Callithrix jacchus: one gene and its partner. The protein of the gene in region 2 interacts with the protein of the main gene of each other region in a pairwise test. Links are inferred from orthologs where the notes say so. Each region holds a gene or a part of one and is shown on either strand. Other genes may lie near its edges.

The links.
Region 1: the proteins of TRIM27 (region 2) and FBF1 interact in binary tests that used the Homo sapiens proteins (3 or more experiments, as listed by UniProt). The two-hybrid records come from large-scale screens. The link is inferred for Callithrix jacchus from reciprocal best matches to the Homo sapiens genes TRIM27 and FBF1.

What each region holds. Positions count from the first base shown.
Region 1 is NC_133506.1:131,807,564-131,818,353, forward strand, and holds part of FBF1 (fas-binding factor 1), read right to left. Parts: intron 10,483-10,790; coding exon 10,027-10,482; intron 8,992-10,026; coding exon 8,875-8,991; intron 8,426-8,874; coding exon 8,337-8,425; intron 8,169-8,336; coding exon 8,110-8,168; intron 7,360-8,109; coding exon 7,204-7,359; intron 7,030-7,203; coding exon 6,929-7,029; intron 6,796-6,928; coding exon 6,589-6,795; intron 5,199-6,588; coding exon 5,091-5,198; intron 5,001-5,090; coding exon 4,861-5,000; intron 4,784-4,860; coding exon 4,665-4,783; intron 1-4,664. UniProt on the Homo sapiens protein: Keratin-binding protein required for epithelial cell polarization. Involved in apical junction complex (AJC) assembly via its interaction with PARD3. Required for ciliogenesis.
Region 2 is NC_133505.1:2,066,978-2,077,867, reverse strand, and holds the start of TRIM27 (zinc finger protein RFP), read right to left. Parts: upstream 6,532-10,890; 5' UTR 6,247-6,531; coding exon 5,800-6,246; intron 4,304-5,799; coding exon 4,208-4,303; exon of another isoform or gene 1-4,207. UniProt on the Homo sapiens protein: E3 ubiquitin-protein ligase that mediates ubiquitination of various substrates and thereby plays a role in diffent processes including proliferation, innate immunity, apoptosis, immune response or autophagy.

The sequences.
Region 1 (10,790 bases), on a different chromosome or scaffold from region 2:
TGCCAGGGCCCAGCCCGCAGGATTCTGCCCAAGAGGAGGACCCATTAGGCACCAGCCTAACCCTCAGATCTCTAGCTGCACCAAGGCTAGCACCTTGGGAGGCCCAGGGGCAACATCCCTGCTGCTGAATCACCAGCTCCGTCCGCACTCTGCCTGTCTTCACCCATCAGCCAAGCAGGCTAAGCACAGGGCGGTCTAGTGCCGTGCCATGGGCCCAGCCACACAGCATGAGGCAAGAGCTTCTCTGTGCCTGATCCCAGGCAAGTGCTTAACACAGTTATCAAATGAAGGGGCGGATCAAAATGGCTCACAATATAAAAGCATCTCTACATTGATACGGCCACAGGGTAGATAGCAGGTCACTACTGGACATCTCTGACTAGTGTGATCTTTTCATTTTCTTCTTTAAAAAGTTTTTTTTTTTTGGCCAGGTGCAGTGGCTCAGGCCTGTAATCCCAGTACTTTGGGAGGCTGAAATGGGCGAACTTCACCTGAGGTCAGAAGTTTGAGACCAGCCTGGCCAACATGGTCTCTCCTACACCCATCTCTCCTAAAAATAAAAAAATTAGCTCCATGTGGTGGCAGGTGCCTGTAATCCTAGCAACTCAGGAGGCTGAGGCAGGAGAATCCCTTGAACACAGGAGGCAAATGTTGCAGTAAGCCAAGATCACACCAGTGCACTGCAGCCTGGGTAAAAGAGTGAGGCTTGGTCTCAAAAAAAAAAAAAAAATTTTTTTTTTTTTTTTTGGCTGGGCATGGTGGCTCATGCCTGTAGTCCCTGCACTTTGGGAGACCAAGGTGGGGTGGGCGGATTGTCAGAGCTCTGGAGTTTAAGATCAGCCTGGGCAACATGGCAAACCCCCATTTCTACGAAAAATTAGCCAGGTCTAGTGGCTCGCACCTGTGATCCCAACTATTTGGAGGCTGAGGGAAGACTGCTTGAGCCTGGGAGTGAGTGCAAGCTGCAGTGAGCCAAGATCTTGCCACTGCACTCCAGCCTGAGTGACAGTGAGAGCCCATCTCTAAAAAAATTTTTTTGGCCAGCCATGGTGGCTCCCATTTGTACTCTCAAAATGTTGGAAGGCCTAGGTGGGTGGATTACTTGAGCTCAGGAGTTCAAGACCAGCCTTGGAAACATGGCGAGACCCCCATCTCAACACAAAATACACCATTAGCTGGGTGTGGTAGTGTGTGCCTGCAGTCGAGCTGTAAGCTGAGGCAGGAGGATGGCTTGAGCCGAGGAGGTCAGGCTGCAGTGAGCTATGACCACACCACTGCACTCCAGCCTGGAAAACAGAGAAAACAAAGAAAGTGCTTCATAAAACCTTAAAGGATGACAGCTACTAGCTGGGAACAAGAAGATAGGTGGGAGGGCAAGGAAGGCTTCATGGAGGTGGTAGCATCCAAAGATTCATGACCATTGAATTCAGTCTGGAAAGATTTCTGCAGGTCAGGACAGGGATGTGAGCAAAGGCAGGGATTGCAGGTGAGCACCACCACTTACAGCTAATTAAAACAAAATTTTATTTATTTTTTATTTATTTTTGAGACAGAGTCTCGCTCTGTCACCCAGGCTGAAGTGCAGTGGTGCTATTTCTACTCACTGCAACCTCTGCCTCCTGGGTGCAAGCGGTTCTCCTCCCTCAGCTTCCCTATTAGCTGGGATTATAGGCATATGCCACCATGCCTGATTAGTTTTTGTGTTTTTATTAGAGACAGGGTTTCACCATGTTAGCCAGGCTGACCTTGAACTCCTGACCTTAAGTGATCTGTCAGCCTTGGCTTCCCAAAGTGAGGAATTACAGGTATGAGCCAATACGCCTGGCATAAAATTTTTTTTAGAGATGGGATCTCGGGGAACGATCCAAGATGGCTGATCGCTAACATCCCGGGATTGCAGCTCTCAGGGAAGGCGCGGAGAACTAGAGGACGCCACACTTTCAGACAAATTCTGGTCGCTCGCGGAGCAGAAGATCCCCCAGTGGAGGAATCACACGGGTCGCCAGCGCGACTTTCGTGACCGGCGCAGCGGTTCCGCCAGCACCTTGGTGCCGCAGCTCTCGGAGCAGAGTAAACAGGTTTGGAGGACCCACACGGGCCCCCAGCACAACACCAGAGCCCAGCCCAGCGGCTGTGACGGCACCTCCCCGCGCTCCCCGCGCTCGGCGCAGAGTAAACAGGACCGGTTCCCCTTCTGCCCGAGGTTTGGAGCCCCAGGAAGGCAGAGTCGCCTACTACGGACACAAGAAGGAAGCCCGACAAGATAATCCTGGGCAGAAAAGCACCATCAGTTTTAACGCCGCTACTCTGGCCCTGGGAACTAACAACCTGGACGTCCACTCAAGAGACCTAATCTGAAAGTTGGTAATTTCAAAGACGAGAGGAGGATAAATTTACAATGACGGGAAGAAACCAGCGTAAAAAAGCTGAGAATACTCAAAGTCAGAACGCCTCTCCCTCTAAAGATGATCACAGTTCCACATCAACAATGGAACGAGGCTTGATGGAGAATGAGCGCCTCCTGATGACAGAATCACTCTTCAAGGAATGGATAATAACAAACTTCGGTGAGTTAAAAGAACATGTTGTAGCCCAACGTAAAGAAACTAGGAACTTTGAAAAAAGGTTTGATGAAATCCTATTGAGAATAGACAACTTAGAGAGGAGTATGAGTGAATTAATGGAACTGAAGAATACAATACAGGAACTCCGAGAAGTTATGCACAGGTTTAAACACTCGAATTGTTCAAGCAGAAGAAGGGATATCAGAGGTCAAAGTCCAACTTAATGAAATAAAACGTGAAGAAATGATTAGAGAAAAAAGGATAAAAAGGAATGAGCAAAGTCTCCAAGAAATGTGGGACTATGTGAAAAGACCAAATTTACGTTTGATAGGTGTACCTGAATGCGACGGAGAGAATGAATCCAAGCTGGAAAATACCCTTCAGGATATTATTCAGGAAAATTTTCCTAAACTAGCAAAGCAGGTCAACATTCAACCCCAGGTAATACAGAGAACACCACAAAGATATTCCTCAAGAAGAGCAACCCCAAGGCACATAATCGTTAGATTCACCAGGGTTGAAACGAAGGAGAAAATACTAAGGGCAGCCAGAGAGAAAGGTCAGGTTACCCACAAAGGCAAACCTATCAGACTTACAGCAGATCTCTCGGCAGAAACTCTACAGGCCAGAAGAGAGTGGGGGCCAATATTCAACATCCTCAAAGAACAGAACCTTCAGCCAAGAATTTCATATCCAGCCAAACTAAGCTTCACAACTGAAGGAAAAATAAAATCTTTTATGAACAAGCAAGAACTCAGAGATTTTATTACCACCAGGCCTGCTTTACAAGAGCTTCTGAAAGAAGCATTACACACAGAAAGAAACAACCAGTATTAGCCTTTCTAAAAATACACCAAAAAGTAAAGAGCACCAACATAAAGAAGAATTTACACCAACGAATGGATAAAACAGCCGGTCAGCATCAAATGGCAGTAACCCTAAATTTAAATTGACTAAATCCCCCAATCAAAAGACACAGCCAAAACCCAATGGCATGTTACATCCAGACCTGTTTCACATGCAAGGATACACAAAGACTCAAAACAAAGGAATGGAGAAAGATTTACCAACCAAATGGAGAGCAAAAATAAATAATAAATAAATAAAAAGCAGGAGTTGCAATTCTCGTATCGGATAAAATAGATTTTAAAGCAACAAAGATAAGTGGTAAAAGGATCAATGCAACAACAAGAGCTAACGATCCTAACACCCAGATACGAGACTTAGATTCAATGAGACAGAAAATTAATAAGGATATCAAGGACTCGAACTCAGATCCAGAACAAGTAAACTTAATAAATATTTATAGAGCTCCCCACTTCAAATACACAAAATATACATTCTTGTCAATACCACATCACACCTACCCATAAGTTTAAATGAAACATTGATTGGCCATTATTAATACCCAATTTTTTTCAAAATAAAGCAATATTTCCATTTACTCTCCCTCTTTCTCTTCCTCTCCTTTACTTATTTTTTTTTCTTTTCTTTCCTTCTCTCAAAAAAAAAAAAAAAAGAGATGGGCTCTCACTATGTTGCTTAAGCTGGTCTCAAATTCTTGGACTTAAGTGATCCTCCTGCCTCAGCTCCCCAAGTAGCTGCGATTACAGGCACAGGCCACCATGCCTGGATGAGGTTATTATTATTTAATTAAAGTGTGTGCTTATATATGAAAGGTATTTAGGGAGTTCAAATGTCTGTTAGAGCTGAAGAGGCTAGGATAACATTTAACAGGCAAGAGCATCTGTCCGAATGTCACAGGGCTTGGGTAAGGGGACAGCTCTGAGTGCAGCTGATGGTTGCAGGGTTTAGACTGTGGAGCAAGGCCAGGGTGGCTGAGGGACTTGCGGTGGTGAGGAGCAGGCAGAGCGTAGTGGGGGCCTGGCCAGGTGGCGCCTGTGTGCTCAGGTGGGCAATGCTGAGGGCCTGGCCGGGACAGGGAGACGCAGAGGCAGGAAGTAGCAGGGAGGATGCCCACAGGAGAGTCAAGCCCCGGCGCTGACCTCTGAGGAGGTGAGGTCAGGAGAGTGTCGCCACACCTGCGGGTGCCCTGGAGGAGAGGCCCCATGGCAGGAGGGCCAGGAGGATGGGCCTCACCTGCTCCAGCAGCTGGCTCTGCTCACTCAGCCGCGCCTCCATCTTCCCGATGACCTCCTGCTGCCAGCTCCGCTCCTCCTCCATGTCCCGCTGCTGCTGGCCCAGCCGCTCCTGCAGTGCTGGGGACAACCCACAGGGTGCTGGCAACTGCTCCTCTTCCCACCAGGGGTCTGGGGGTCTGAGAGGGAGGGCGTACCCCGCAGCTGCTCGTCCCGCTGCCGGATCCCCAGCTCCCGCTCCTGGGAGTTGGTGAGATGTGAGGCCTCCATGCGGTAGGACAGCTCCTGCAGGCTGCTGGAGAACTTCTCCATCTGGTGGATGATGCTATTCAGGGACCTGAAAGGAGGCTGGGTCACCACCTCCTGAAAGCCTCGGGACCCCCCAGCCCCCACCCTTAGGCGGGCACAGTTGGGGCAGCACACATACCATGTGTGGGAGGTGGTGCTGGTGGCCGCATCGACCTCTCGGTCTTTCAGCAGCTTCAGCCGCTGCAGCTGCTCCTCGTGGTCTCTGCGCATCTCCAGGATGGATGCCCTGTGGGGAAGTGGAAGGGGAAGGCCCACAGCCAATCTGAGCAGGACCACCCAGACACAGCAGCTCCTTGTGGAAGGGCATGCTTCGAAGCAGCCCTTGCTCCCAGGCCTCTCTTCCTCTGGGCACTGCCTCAGTTTCCCCAGCTCCTCTGTCTTATCTGTCATGGTGCCTCAATGCTACATGCACTAAGATGGAGATTACTCCAGTTATTCAGCAAAGAGCACTTTACATAGAGCCATGTGTGCACTTCTTTTGAGTCTGGCCAACCTGAGCTGTCTTTCTTTCTTTTCTTTTTTCCTTTTTGTAGACATGAGATCTCGCTATATTGCCCAGGCTGGTCTTGAACTCCTAGCCTCAAGCAATCCTCCTGCCTTCGCCTCCCAAAGTAGTTTTTTTTTTTTTTTTTTTTTTTTAATTCTTTTAGAGACAGGGTTTTGTTCTGTGGTCCCAGCTGGAGTGCAGCGGCATAATCAAAGCTCACTGCAGCCTGACGTCTTGGGCCCAAGGTATCTTCCACCTCAACCTCCCAAGTCACGATCATGCCCAGCTAATTTAAAAACTGTTTTTAGATACAAGGTCTCGTTGTGTTGCCCAGGCTGGTCTCAAACTCCTGGCCTCAAGTGATCCTCCCATCTTGGCCTCCCAAAGTGCTGATTATTACAGGTGTGAGCCACTGTGCCTGGCCCTGAGCTCTGAGTCAGGCATGGTGGCAGCTCATGCCTGTAAACCCAGTACTTTGGGAGGCTGAGGTGGGCAGATCATGAGCTCAGGAGTTCAAGACCAGCCTGGCCAACATGGTGAAACCCCATCTCACCTAAAAATACAAAAATTAGCCAGGCATGGTGGTGGGCGCCTGTAGTCCCAGCTACTTTGGGGGCTGAGGCAGGAGAATTGCTTTAACCCAGGAGGCATAGTTTGCAGTGAGCCGAGATCGTGCTACTGTGCTCCAGTCTGGGTGACAGAGTGAGACCTCTGACTCCCTTAGATAACTTCTTAGCTTCCTTCTCTTCTATAAAGGCAACCCTATCAACATGGCAGGCACAACAGTGCAAGCCTTTCCCAGGCAGACCTCATCTCTAGCCTCTACTGCGTGAGCTGGTGAGTGGATTACCCTGTGCTTAGTTAGGCCCTGGGGGGCTTGCTGCTGCCATGCGGTGCGTGGACAGCCTGTGGATACCGCATCCTGCCTCTGTAAGAGCAGGTGGCACTCCACCCATGTGTGTAATGGGTCAGTCTGCCCAGCCCTCAGTCCTCACTCATTGGGCTGGGAGGGAAGGGCTCAAATCCCTGTCCAAGGGCTGCTGAGCCACAGCAGAGGGTCTCGTGAGGATGGCTGCCTTCTGGCCAGTCCTTGCAAGCCCATCCCCAACTGCCTGTCCCTGGGCCTCACCGCTGCAGCTCCCGGAGCCGCTCCATTTCCTGGTCCTTCTCCTGTGCTGCAGCTGCCAAGCGCCGCTGGTACTGGGCGGTGAGCTCAGCACGGGCCTGCTCGGCCTCCTGGCAGTGCGACAGATACCGAGCTGACAGCTCCTCGTTCTCTCTCCGGAGACGCTCCTCCCGCTGCTGGTACGATATTTCTAGCACCTTGATGTGGCTTCTGCCAACAGTACACCCAGCCATGGCATGAGGAAGGTAGAGGGCTGCCACCTAAAGGCCTCTCCAAGCACACTGGGGTGGCCTTTGAGGTCAGCGAGAGAGTCAAGGCAGAGCTGGGGCTGGTGCTGGGGTACCTGTGTGCATTCTCGATGAGCTCCAGGTCTGCCTGGTTTTGCTGCTGCAGACTCCCCAGCAGCAGCTCACGCTGGGCCCGTTCCAGCTCCAGCTTCCGCACCTGGGAGACGGCAGGAGGGCCAGCGATTAGGGAGGGGAGGTGGCTGTGCTCTACGCTGCCCTGTGCCAACAGCCCCTCCTTCCTCCTGGGGATGCTTCCCGATACTCTCAGTCTCTCGGTGACCCCTCCCGTCACAACTTTGCCCCCAATGCCAGCAACCCCGCTGCCACTCACCTGGGCCTCCAGCTCTGCCAGCCGGGCTTGGCTCTGCAGCAGCGCAGCCTGGAGCTCTGCGGTGCTGCTCTGAAGCTTCACCTGTGCTGCCAGGAGCTGCTTCTGGTATTCTGTGCCTGGCAGCAGGCTCAGGGCCAGGGACTCTGGGAGCAGGGGCTGTAGGAGAGGATGAGAGGTGTTCTTGGTTAGGGAGGGACGGACCCAGCTGGGATCAGCTACCTCCTGGATCTCTGCTCACTGGACCTGATCTGTGGCTGCAGATAGGGCCAAGGCCTTGGAGAGTCACAGTCACTGTGGCTGAGCAGTCCCCAGTGTACTTCCCCTTGCAGGTCCGGTCAGGAGCATGCGTCTCCCTCCACCCCTCAAAAGAGCTTCCTCCCCAGCATGATCTCCGGCTTCCCAGACTGGGGCTGAGCCCCAGCTGAGTCTCCGCTGACAAATGCTGACGCTGGCTTTTCCTGTTAGCCCTGAAGCCCACATGTTAACACTAATCTGGTTTCCACAAGCTGCCCTCTACCCACCATCTCCCAGGGACACACTCCTGGGGGCCACACCTCCCATGCTCAGGTGTCACAGGTGACTGCCACACATGGAAACAGAGGCAGAGGTGTGGCAGGAGAATGGCAGGGGTGGAGGCGGCTTTCTAGACAGAAGAGGTCCCTGCAGCCCTGCTTTCTGACAGCAGCATTCCCAGCTCCCCAGCCTGGCTACCTCTTCGAATTCCCATTGATGTAGGGAAATTAACACCCAACTCTGCCTGGGAGCAGTGAGGCTAGAAGTTCAGGCAAGTGCTGGTGAGAGGTGCCAGGGGAGGTGGCCGACACCACATTTGGTATGTCTGACATATTTTTCCTGGCAGGTCATCAGGTCAAAGTGTTGGTGTTGCCTCTGTGCATGCACCCCTACCTGGACGGGCACAGAAGGCTCTGTGGGCTCCTGGGTGCTCGGGAAACACATGGCAGGCTCTGAAACATCAGCAGCAGGGAAATGAGCAGGGTGGCCCAGGGCTGTGGGCTGCAAGTATCCAGGAGAGGCTGGTGTCACTCATGTCCCAGGGACCCCAAAGGAAGCTCAAAGCACCTCTTCTTTGCCCAGGTTAAACTCCCAAATAAAGCAGAAAACAACAAACAAACCCGTGGCCGAGATGTCTCCAGGGGCTGCTCCCCGCTTTGGGGAGCCTGCAGGGAGTGCCGAGGCAGCATGTTTCTGAGTCACAGGGGACCTGAGGGCACAGGGACGGGGCAAGGTGAGCAGCCTCTATGTGGGATATGGGGATGGGGCAAGGCAAACAGCCTCTGTATGGGACAGGACAAAGTAACTAGCTCTGTGTGGGAGATTGGGACGGGGGAGGGTGAGCAGCCTCTGTGGGATTCGGAGACAGGGCAAGGAGAGTAGCCTGTGTGGGACACGGAGACGGGGGTTGGCACCAGGAGTAAAGGAAAACTTCGGGTTCAACTGACAGCTGACTAAGGAGTCTCAGTTGTGCTGGTGGTAGGCAGAGGACAGAGTCCCCTGCACTTCAGAAAGCTCTTCCACCAGCGTGCCTGGAGCAGGGGTTGAACACCACGGTTAATTGTATTGGGTCTCCACATGGTTGTCTGCTGTCCCTCTCTAAGGACGGAGTGCTACCCACTGTGCCCTCACTCTGCTCAGTCTGCAGCCCGGGCCTACCCCGAGACGCCAGGCCTGGCACACGGTCTTTCTCCGGCGGTTGTTCCAGAGCTTCCTCCAGCAGCTGCCTGCTCAAGTCCTGGCATGCTGGTGAGAGGTTGGCTGAGAAAAGGCAGCCTTCAAGGTGAAGGTGACAGAAAGCCCAGGTCAGGCTGGATGAAGATGGGGCCCAGGACAGGCTTCACACATGAAGCTCATGGCTGCCCTTTCTCTTGCTCCCACCATCCCGTCTTGGGTTGTTCTCCTCCCAAGTCTGAGCTCCTGGGATCTGTGGGCATCTCTTCCCTTCAAGTACCCCCTTCCTGCCTCAGCATCCCTGTTCCAGCCCATTTAACTTGGCTCAGCTCTAGAGTAAGGCTCTGCTCAGTCTCCCAAGTCTGGCTGGCTCCCTTTCCTGTTATTTCTACCTCTTTCTCAGCTCATGGGTCAGTGAAGACACAGGCTCTCTTCTGTTTTGGCCTCAGCTTTCCCCTCAGTCTCAGGTGAATGTCAAAAGTGCCCTCCTGACATCAATCCCAGGACTGGGTGATGTTCCTGGGCTGTCACAAATTGCCCAGTTCACTTCCCTGGGCTTGGGCCACATTGCTGCTCATAATTTCCCCCAGCCTGCTGGCCCTTGTGCCTTCCTGCCCTCAGAGGTCGCTCACTGTCCTGTCCCACGGCTTGCCCTTCTGTGGCTTCTCCAGGAGGTGCCTCTGGACCACTGTGTCTCCTCTAACGCTCTCAAAGAGCACAGGGACATCTCAGCTCACACACGCCATATTTACTTCAGTGGAGCTGGCAGAAGCACCAGTGGTTTGGACGCTGAGGCTGCCAGCCTGAGGACGCTGTGGCAGGGCACTGCTCAGAGGCAGGACAGTGGTGTGTCTGCCACCTCAGGTATCCTCTGTTCTGCCCAATCAAGTTAGCACCTGTCCCCATGGCAATCAGGGCACAAATGTCAACAGCTCCCCCGACCTGTTGGGTCTGTCCCTGGGGCAAGCCAGGGAGCCAGAGGCTCTCTCTGCAGTGCCCAAAAGGCAGAGTAGCAAAGCCAAGAAACGGCCTCTGTGCCCACGGCGCGCTGCCTTGTTCCCAACTGAGGCTGCAACAGGTGAGGGGCAAAGGGGCCCCTCAAGTCCCCCTACAAGCCATAGCAGCCCAAGCCCGTACCTGTCAGAAGGGGGATGGCCCACTGTCCCTGCAAAACTCAGGCCCTCAGAGGCCCCAGCACCCTGCTCTCTGGCCAGGCCTTGGGACTTCTTCCGAGACAGGGCATGGCTCAGCCAGTCTTCTTCCTCCTTCTCGGAGGCTTGCAGCTTGGAATCCTGGCTGGCTTTGGCAGGGGACCCTGCACCTTCGGTTGGTGGCTTTGCCTTGGAGAGGGGCAGCCCAGCTGGTGCAGAGTGCTTGCTCTCAGGAGGAGGCACTAAGGGCATGGCAAGTGCTGAGCTTTCCCGACATGCCTCTCTGGTGGGTGAGGCAGGGAGCAGGTCCAAGTCATCGTCCTTGAGGCCCAGCCAGTCAGCTCCTCCCTTCCTGGGCTGGATGGGGCTGGAAGTGGCTGGAGGGCTCTGTCTGGAGCCTGGTTCTCCCTTGAGGTCTGGGCCACTGTCTGCTAAGAACCTACTTCAAGACAGAAAGGAGAATGTCAGGGAGGGGAAGCAGTCAGTCCTAGTGGCCCCCTAGCAGCCTGTGGCTGGGCGTCACGATGCCCAGGGACCCTGCACAGTCAGCTGAGGCCCAGTGAGCAGTGGCTTCTAGACTGGCTTAGGTGGCAGACCCTGTGCTGTCTATAGAACACCAAGAAGTATAGAGACCTTGACTTCCATCACATGAACTAGGGACAGTTCTACCCACAGAGAACAGGATCAAATGACAGCCGCAGGCATACAGGTCTAAAGAAAAATCGGGCCGCGTGTGGTGGCTCATGCCTG
Region 2 (10,890 bases):
GAGATCGAGACCATCCTGGTCAACATGGTGAAACCCCGTCTCTACTAAAAATACAAAAAATTAGCTGGGCATGGTGGCGCGTGCCTGTAATCCTGGCTACTCAGGAGGCTGAGTCAGGAGAATTGCCTGAACCCAGGAGGCGGAGGTTGCGGTGAGCCGAGATCGCGCCACTGCACTCCAGCCTGGGTAACAAGAGCGAAACTCCGTCTCAAAAAATAAAGGACAAAATCCCTATTCTCAAATAACTCAGAGAAGTGAGTCAGGTTCATGTGATACATGTAGTCATGGTAAGGTAATTAAAGATAGGGTGACAGCCTGCAATGAAAGAAACTGGTACCGTCTTCATGGAAGCAATTTCAGTGTTTACGGGATGAACGAGAGCCCACCATACAGGCAACACGCAGGAAGCCTTTCCAGGCAGAAGAAATGGCACAGGCAAAATCACAGGGCAACAAAGCAAATGGTGCTCTCTGGCTGAAGCACACGAGTGTTGAGGGAAAAGGTCAGAAAAACTGAGACCTTGTCACACCTTGCCTGGCAGCCTCTATTGCAATTGGGAGGCATGAAATATTGTCACATGGGAAAGGGACAGGGTCACATATGTGCCCTACGGAGGACGGAACAACCAAGCGCAGCTTCCTTGCCCGATTGCCCTTCACATATACTCCATATCCTCTACCTGTCGTTCACGGGTGTTCACCAAACGCTGTCTCTAGCTTCGGGTGGGAGAGAGGTGGCTTCCCTATGGTTTCCTCTTGGTGCTCATTTGTTTGCCATAACTTACTGTCTGTCTTTCTTCAGCCGCCCCCACCACCATCAAGTCTCTATTAAAAAGTTTTGTTCTAAACAAGGAGCCAAGAACAAGCTCCAAAGAAATCACGTGAAGTTGTACTGGACATAGCCACGCCCTGCATTTATGCACTGACAATGGCTGCTTTTGAGCTGAGCTACAACAGAGCTAATCAGCTGCGGGGGAGGCCACATAGCCTACAAAGCTAGAAACATTCACTACCTGACCCTTTTTAGAAAAGTTGGCAACGTCTGTTCTAAACCCAGCTTCTCCCAAGAGCCTTCCCCCACTGACCGTCCCTCTAGTCACCCGGATTAGACACGCACTATGCACAAGTCTGTTTATAAATCCTTTTCAAACGTTATACTTCATGCGAGTTGGGTAATTCTTTCAAACGCATAAACTATACAAAATACGACGCACAGTCGGACCGGCTGCTGAGATGAACGCTACATTGGGGCAGTCTCTGCTTAACATGGGGAGATAGACGCTGCTGCCTTTAATAGGCCTGGGTCCTCGCAGCTCCAAAAAGAAACAGGATCTCAATAAGCTCTATGAGCTGAAGTCCAAAGCTTGGCAGATTATGAACCAGTTTGGCCCCTCAGCCCTAATCAACCTCTCTAATTTCTCATCCATAAAACTGGAACCAGCCAGCACCCCTACACAAGGCTCCATGGCCAATAGTACTACAGAGGTAAAGATACCAGGCACTCCTGGGACAGGAAGTTAGCCCTGAAAACAATCAGGTATTGACCAAGAAGAAACTGCAGGCCTTAGTAAGAGAAGTGGATCCTAATGAGCAGTTGGATGAAGATGAGGAGGAGACGCTGCTGCAGATTGCTGATGATTTTATCGAGAGTGCGGTGACGGCCGCCTGTCAGCTAGCACGGCGTTGCAAGTCCAGCACTCTGGAGGTGAAAGACGCCCAGCTACATTCAGAGCGCCAGCGGAACACGTGCATCCCAGGATTTGGCTCTGAAGAAATCCGACCCTACAAAAAAGCTTGCACCACGGAAGCTCACAAACGGAGAATGGCATTGATCCGGAAAACAACACACAGAAAGGTCAGGGAATGGACAACAATGTATTTGGAGATACTTGAGCTGAGAACTCAGCCATCTCATCCATGGATTTTTTTTTTTTAATGCTTTACAGAGAAGCATATGTTTTTTATTAACAGTGCAGCAATATCTATAATGACTTATCTATATCTATAATGCCAAAATCTATAGTATCTATAATGCCAAAAGAATAAGGCCTTCTACCCCAACTTCCGGTCCCTTTTCCCTGCCATCTCAAAGCGGAGCAGTGTATCTTCCAGAGAAGACTTTATTTGTGTTTCATTATATAAGTGACTGAATATGGGACAAAGCATTACGGTCTTTTTGGGTGAGACAGTATTAGTAGGATTTGTCAAGGGTTCCGTTTCCTTCTCCTTTCCCCTTTTCCCTGTACTTCGTAATGTCAGTGTTTATGTGAACACGACTTTCATTTGCTTTTCCAGAACAAAGAAGTTATTCATCAAAAAAAAAAAAACAAACACCTATACAAAATAATCTTAGAAACAAAAAAGGCTGAAACAATCCTTAAATAGCAACTATTTCAGTGTTTCTCAAAGTGGGTGCTACTGGTACCTTGGCAGGACAATCCTGCCTGGCATGGGACTGTTTCTTGCACTGTAAGACACTTAGGGTTCCTGCCCCGACCTCTCCAATCGCTCAAGTCTTCTGAAAACAGCCAAAGAAATACCCACACACCATTGCAGAGGACAGAAAGGCAGGACTAGCCTTACGAATCTAGTCTAAACTACTCATTTCACAGATGAGTAACTGAGGTCCAGAGAGGCTGTATGACTCCATCTTTGCAACCGAGCCTAGAAGCATGTCCAGGTGCCCAGATGCTCTGAGAAGGGCTTTTCTCCCCTTTGATAATCCTCCCTCAGAGGATACCATCACGTGGACAATGACCTGGGTCCACTCAGGCTCACTGAGAAGATTCTCCGTCCATCAGACTTATTTTCAAGGAGAGCTGAAGTCTCAGTGCACTGTGTGGGCAGAGCAAGTGGTGGGATCTCAGGACTCCATGGGAATGAGTTCCTCGTCTAAGAGTTCTTTACTGCGCCCTGCCTGGAATGACAGAAGGATGCTGGACTCTACTAGTCTGGGACTTTACTTTTCAGACAGAAATATCTCTACTCAATGGAGATTCGTCACGTTTTATGTGTTGTTCAAAAACATTTTTTTTTTTGAGACAAAGTTTCACTCTTGTTACCCAGGCTGGAGTGCAATGGCGCGATCTCGGCTCACCACAACCTCCGCCTCCTGGGTTCAGGCAATTCTCCTGACTCAGCCTCCTGAGTAGCTGGGACTACAGGCACGTGCCACCATGCCCAGCTAATTTTTTGTATTTTTAGTAGAGACGGGGTTTCACCTTGTTGACCAGGATGGTCTCGATCTCTCAACCTTGTGATCCACCCGCCTCGGCCTCCCAAAGTGCTGGGATTACAGGCGTGAGCCACCGCGCCCGGCTCAAAAAACATTTTTAAACACCTAGGTGGTATTTTTAAATGTTACAAAAATGCATTTTACAAATGTCTCTGTACTTTTTGTTTGTTTTTTCTTTTCAAAACAAAATTCCTGGCTGGGTCCAGTGGCTCACACCTGTAAACCCACTTTGGGAGGCTGAGTCAGGTGGATCACTTCAGGTTAGGAGTTCAAGACCAGCCTGGTCAACATGGTGGAACCCCATCTCTATTAGAAATACAAAAATTAGCTGGGTGTGTTGGTGCACACCTGTAGCCCCTGCTCCCTGGGAGGCTGAGGTGGGAGAATTGCTTGAACTGGGAGGCAGAGGTTGCAGTGAGCCGAAACCTTGCCATTGCACTGGTGACAGTGTGAGGCCCTGTCTCAAAAAAAAAAAAAAAAAAAAAAAAAAAAAAAAATCCTAAATACCTCTATCATGAATTAACACATCAGCCACTTGTCAAGGCCTTGAGGCTGGAAGAAGAGAACAGAGTAAAAACTCCACAATCAAGGCACTGTCAAGGAGAATAACCCAGAGAGAAGCAACAGTGGGCCTTATACAGGACGTCTGCAGAATGGTAACAAAGGGAGCTGACTGTACCCAATAAAGTTATCTATGTCAGTTTTGCCAAGAATCAACCGTGGTCTATGCAGTTAGCAGGTTAAGCTTTATTGACAGGTCTGGTTTCCAGGGGTTCCAAACTAGGCTCCTCCATCCTTTCCCCAAAAGTAAGGGAATCTCTCAGTTCTCAGGGTGAGATCCCCCGCCATGTGCGGTTGATCCACCTCTACCTACAAGTTCTGGATGACTTGCTGGAGAAGTTTAAGGGAAGTAACAGCTCTACAGAAGAGGGGAGCACCAGCAGAAGCGACTGTGAATTCGGACAACCCTTACCAAGAGTTCGGCTCGTGCCTGTTCCCCCTGGGCCCGACGTCTCTTCTTTAAATCTTTCACTCTTTTAAGGTGGTCCAGCTGGTTCTGAATCTGCTCCTGAGAAAAGCAAAACAGATGGCAGTTCAAAATTAAGTAGACCTTAGCATCAGCATGGTCATCGAGACGGAATCTCACTCTGTCATCCAGGCTGGAGTGCAGTGGCGCAATCTCAGCTCACTGCAACCTCCACCTCAAAGGTTCAAGCGATTCTCCTGCCTCAGCCTCCCGAGTAGCTGGGACTACAGGCACGTGCCACCATACCCAGCTAATATCTGTACTTTGAGTACAGATGGTTTCCCCAAGTCTGTCAGGCAAGTCTCAAATTCCCGATCTTGTGATCTGTCTGCCTCAGCCTCCCAAAGTGCTGGGATTACAGGTGTGAGCCACCTCACCCAATAGCATGGTCATTCTTATCACAGATGGAGTCCACACACCTGATGCCAAGTCCTGTCTGGTCCTGTCCTCAGGCCACAGTGCCACCCACAAGATTAAGACCCAGGGCACAGGGGCCATCAAGCCTCGCCTCTGGCATTTTGTGTCTATCTAAGCAGCCTGTGGCTTCAACCACTCAGCTACTGCGTCAGGACTATTTGTGTCTATCTTAAACAATGAGTCATCTACCTGTCCCTGGTCGGATATTGCATGACTTAGCGGAAATGTGACTGGAGCAGGAGGCTGAGAGTTGTGTGGTACTGGAGCTTTTCCTCACAGGCATACTGCGAAGGTGACTTATTTTCCTCAGGTGTGACATGGGCAAACACCATCTTCCCAACCTGCTCAAGATGTATCACCAGTGAGTGAAATAATATAGCTGAAAGGTCCATTAATGTTAAGGGATTACACATGAATGTACTCCCATTAAACAGGGACATAATTGTGTATGCATTACTGAAGCCCTCAAGATACAAATAATTGTGTCATGGACTCCTTGAAGGGCGCCTTACAAGTGTTTTATTTGGAACACTTTGTCTGCACGTTACTGTTTGTTTAGCTGTGCCGGTTAGCAGAGGGCTCTGAGCGTCCTGTGATTCCACGTTCTTCCTCATGACTGTGTTATCTCCTGGGTCCTAGAGTAGTTAAACGACTTACTCAAGCACCAAAGAGCTGTTATTTTCCGTGAGCTTCTAGAGCCGGGCAGACTGAACGAAAGTGCTAGAGAAAATGCTTCTACACTAAGGAATGGCCGTGAGTCAGTGAACGTCTGAGCGCGTTTTGTTGCGAGCCGGTGGGAGCGGAGCGTGTCCCCAGCTTGCGGATGTGCGCGGGTTGTATGCGCTTCTTTCATTCTGTCAAAAGGTCTCCGTGTACAACGCGCCCGCGAGGCAGGAAACTCGGGGGCACACGGAGCGAGGAGAGTGGGGGTGGGGGGACTTGTGGCTTCTTCGCCAGCCACAGGTTTTCCTCCAGATCCGAGCGCGGAGGCTCCGGGGCGCACGGGGAGGAAATGACGGCTGCGAACCAGCCCCACGTCCGGCTCAGCCATTTTCTGGGCGGAAAAGGGACGCCCCGGGCTCTCCCCCTCCCTTTGTCCGCCGCCCGCCCCGCCAGCTCACCTTGAAGCCCTCCACGGCCTCCTCGAGCGGCAGCACGCTGTGTCCGCGGTGCTCGCGGGAGCGGTCGCACACCACGCAGATGGGCGTCTGGTCCTGCTCGCAGTACAGCTTCAGCGGCTCGCGGTGCTTCTCGCACGCGCCCATCTCCCCGCCCGGGCCCACCGGCCGCTCGGAGCGCAGCTGCTTCACCAGCTGGGTGACGTTGGCCAGGTGGCGGTTGGGCCGCAGGTGCCGCTGCGGGAAGGTCTCCCGGCACTGCGGGCACGACACGTTGGTCTCCGCCGCGCCCCAGCAGCGCGCCAGGCACGCGCCGCAGATGTTGTGTCCGCAGTCGAGCATCATGGGCTCGGAGAAGTACTGCAGGCACACGGGGCAGGTGGTCTCCTGCTGCAGGCACTCGGCCACGCTCGCGGACGCCATGGCGGGGCCTGCGGGGCGCACGGGCATGGGCCCCGACCGAGCTCCGCGCCGCGCCCAACTCTCCCGCGCTCTCCGGTCGCCGTTCCCGGGAGGCGCGGGGCGGGCGGAGGGCGGCGCCTCCCGGGCCCGGATCCAGACGCGCCCGCGCCGCGAAGACTCGAGGTGGCCGCGCCGCTCCCCGCGCCGGGGCCCCCGATGAAGGCGCGAACACGCTCCGGGGCAGGGCCGGGTCGCCGAGGGGCAGAAGCCCAGGGGCAGGCGCGCAAGACAACGTGGCCGCGTCCGAAGCGGGTCCCGGCGGCCGCGCAGACCCCACCCCGGCGCGAGCGGAAGAGGCGGCTCGGCGGGCGGGGCTTGGCCCGCGCTCCCAGTGAGAGGCTAGATTTCGTGGCCTCGGGGCCTGGGATTTTCTTCTCGGAAAGGCCGAGGAGGCTCTGCCGCGGTCCCTGGCCCGGTCGCGCCGAAGCTCCAGCCTAGGGGTCGGGGCCCGAGAGCCGGCGCTGTCTCCGGGCGCGGCGCCGACCGGGTCTCCTGGCCACGCGCTCCGGGCCTATAGGCTTCCGCGGCTGCCGGGCCGGGCCCCGAGTCTTTGTTCGGTTTCCTTTTGGTGCCTGGGTCCCAGCCCTGCAGAAGAAAGCAGGCTTTGTGTGGATGCCGAGGAACGAACGGAGACATCTGGCCTCCCCCGGAGTCTGGAGGATGAGGGTTGCGGACTAGCCCACCTGAGACGTGGGGCCTTTTATTAAGCAGCCCCATTTGTAGGCACCTGCAGTTTCGTTTAGATATCAGACGGTAACGTTTCTGTGTTGCAATAACAAGCCCAGTTCTGCTACTTCTCTCCTGTGCTCAGGCAAGTTGGTTTACCATTCATTTACCTCAGTTTCTCCCGTGTGAAATGGGGATAATTGTACCGCAGTAAGAAGTACATTTCCTTACATCTTTTACTTTTTGTACCATAGGGTTGTTTATCCATTAAAATAGTAATAAAATGCCCACTACATAGGGTTGTTGTGCTGAGTAGCAACTACAAATTGCTTGCTCCTTTCTGAGGCATCGACCCAGGGTCTTGGAGGCCGCAGACCGCCAGCATTTTTTTTTTTTTTGAGACGGAGTTTCGCTCTTGTTACCCAGGCTGGAGTGCAATGGCGCGATCTCGGCTCACCGCAACCTCCGCCTCCTGGGTTCAGGCAATTCTCCTGCCTCAGCCTCCTGAGTAGCTGGGATTACAGGCACGCGCCACCATGCCCAGCTAATTTTTGTGTTTTTAGTAGAGACGGGGTTTCACCATGTTGACCAGGATGGTCTCGATTTCTTGACCTCGTGATCCACCCGCCTCGGCCTCCCAAAGTGCTGGGATTATGGGCGTGAGCCACCGCGCCCGGCCCCCGCCAGCATTTTTATGTTACGTTCTTATCCCTTACTGGCGTTTCCTAGTTTTCTTTGAAATTTTTCTCAAAATTATCCTGCTGTCTGAGCAAGACAGGCTTCTGCTTCCAGATGATCACTTTATTTTTATTTTTTCAAAGTGAAAGTAAGTTTATTATTATTATTATTATTATTTTTGAGACAGAGTTTCACTTGTTACCCAGACTGGAGTGCAATGGCACGATCTCGGCTCACTGCAACCTCCGCCTTCTGGGTTCAAGCAATTCTTCTGCCTTAGCTTCCCGAGTAGCTGGGACTACAGGCGCGCACCACCATGCCCAGCTAATTTTTATATTTTTAGTAGAAAGGGGGTTTCACCATGTTGACCAGGATGGTCTCGATCTCTTGACCTCGTGATCCACCCGCTTCGGCCTCCCAAAGTGCTGGGATTATAGGCGTGAGCCATCGCGCCCGGCCTATTATTATTCTTTTAAAGTAAGTTTATTTTTTAAGAAAGTAAGGTAACAAAGAATGGCTACCCCGTAGGCGGAGCGGCCCACATCATCGCTTTAGAGAGGTCTACACTCTGCTTCTCTTCCGCAGGGGACAGAAAGTCTGAGGGCCTCAGTGGACTTGCCAACCACAAACCCACATCCACCTTCTCAACCATACTCTGGGTATCTGGTCGTTCAGATTTCAGTCCCAAATAGCCCTAACCCATTTCCAGAATGATGCAGTGTACCTGGCCCAGGCCACACCACAGCCTGGTCTTGGTGTGAGATTGGGTCAACATTGAAATTTGTAAGAATTAGAGAATAAGTACGTCAGTTCTGATTTACTCCAAAAAGGACTAGTAAGCATTGCAACACACGCCGAAATATGAGAGATACAGATAGGCAGATAAAGCTGCCCTTTAGCTGCCTCCTGATTTGGGGGATACAAGTCTAGAGTTTGGCTTTGTTGTTAAGAATTGTTTTTATCCTACCAACCCTTTATGACCTCTGGAGACAGGTGACCTGGGGTAAAGAAACGTAGAACAGGTAGGGTGTGGTGGTTTATGCCTGTAATCCCAGCGCTTTGGGAGGCTGAGGTGGGCGGGAGTTTGAGACCAGCCTGACCAACATGGTGAAACCCTGTCTTTACCAAAAATATACAAACCAGCCGAGCGCAATGGTGCACACCTGTAATCTCAACTATGGAGGCTAACCTGGAGAATCAGTTGAGCCCAGGAGGCAGAGGTTGCAGTGAGCTGAGATTGAGCCACTGCACTCCAGCCTGGGTGACAAATCAAGACTCCACCTCAAGAAAAGAGAAAAAGAGGGGGGGGTGCGGTGGCTCACGCCTATAATCCCAGCACTTTGGGAGGCCGAGGGGGGTGGATCACAAGGTCAAGAGGCAGGAGAATTGCTAGAACGTGGGAGGCGGAGATTGCAGTGAGCTGAGATGGAGCCACTGCACTACAGCCTGGGTGACAGAGCAAGACTCTGTCTCAAAAAAAAAAAAAGAAAAAGAGGTAGTGTGAGGATCCTTGTGATGGAATAGTTCTGTGTCTTGACTGTAGTGTTGTTCCTGTGTATTTACATATGCAATAAAATTGTGTAGAACTAAACACACACAAACACGTGAATTTATGTAAAAATGGTGAAATCTGAATAAGATTGGTAAATTTTAACGATGATAATTTGCTGGTGTGACACTGTACTGTATTTATGCAAGATGTTGTCATTGGGAGGAACTGGTTGAAGGGTATGCTGGATCTTTATTTTTATTTTAGTTTTTTGGAAACAGAGTCTTGCTCTGTCACCCAGGCTGGAGCGGTGACGCCATCTTGGCTCACTGCAACCTCCGCCTTCTGAGTGCAAGCAATTATCATGCCTCAACCTCCCAAGTAGCTGGGATTACAGGCATGTGCCACCATGCCCGGCTAATTTTTGTATTTTTAGTAGAGATGGGGTTTTGCCATGTTAGTCAGGCTGATCTCGAACTCCTGACCTCAAGAAATCTTCTGGCCTCAGCCTCCCAAAGTGCAAGGAATACAGGAGTGAGCCACTGCACCTGGCCACTAGATCTTTAGTAACTGTACCTGAATCTACAATTATGTCAAAATAAGTTTTAAAAATATGCATTCACAACATCAATTACTTCTTTTTCCAGGTAGCAAAGCTCTGTATTTTGCTCTTGATTGGACTAATGCCTGTGGACAGAGAAAGTCATGTGCCGACTGGCTTAGGTTTAGTTTTACTACCTATTCCTGAACCGATTACTGTGGCAAGGTAACTGAGATCATGCCCATGGTGTATGCATCAAGACCTATTCTTGAAGTCAAAACTCTGAAACCTCATGGGTACTGTGGAGTGAAGTGAAGAGTGGAATGGAGTGGAGTGTGGAGTGGAGTGGAGTGTGGAGAGGAGTGGAGTGTGGAGTGGAGTGCGGAGTGGAGTGTGGAGTGGAAAGGAGAATGGAGTGTGGAGTGGAGGGTGGAGTAGAATCGAGTGTGTGGAGGGTGGAGTGGAATGGAGTGTGGAGTGTAATGGAGAGTGGAGTGTGGAGTGGAGTATGGAGTGGAATGGAGAGGAGTGTGGAGTGGAGTGTGGAATGGAGTGTGGAGTGGAGTGGAATGGAGTGTGGAGTGGAGTGTGGAGTGGAATGGAGAGTGGAGTGGAGTGCGGAGTGGAGTGTGGAATGGAGTGTGGAGTGGAGGGTGGAGTGGAGTGTGGAGTGGAGTGGAGGGTGGAGTGGAGGGTGGAGTGGAGTGTGGAATGGAGTGTGGAGTGGAGGGTGGAGTGGAGTGTGGAGTGGAATAGAGAGTAGAGTGGAGTGTGAAGTGGAGTGTGGAGTAGAGTGGAATGTGGAGGGGAGGGTGGAGTGGAGTGTGGAGTGGAATAGAGAGTAGAGTGGAGTGTGGAGTAGAGTGGAATGTGGAGTGGAGGGTGGAGGAGACTGGAGAGTGGAGTGGAGTAGAGTGGAGTGTGGAATGGAATGAAGTATAGAGTGGAGTGTGGAGTGGAGGGTAGACTGGAATGGAGTACTGGTTCTCTCTATCCCCTTCCCTGTCACTATGTAGTCACCTGGGCCTTATGTCTATGGAAATTAGGTTCTTCTGGGTAAATCAAAATAAGGGGCTTAGGCATGACAGAGGTTTTATCTACCTCAGTAGGAAGACCAGAAGGAGGTGGGTGGGAGTCACATGGCGGTTTCATTATCCTCAGGGCTCACTGTCCTATTTTCTGCTCCAACATTCTTGGGCATCACATCTACCCTCAATGTTATCTGATAGTCCAGGATGACTGCTGGAGTTTCATAATC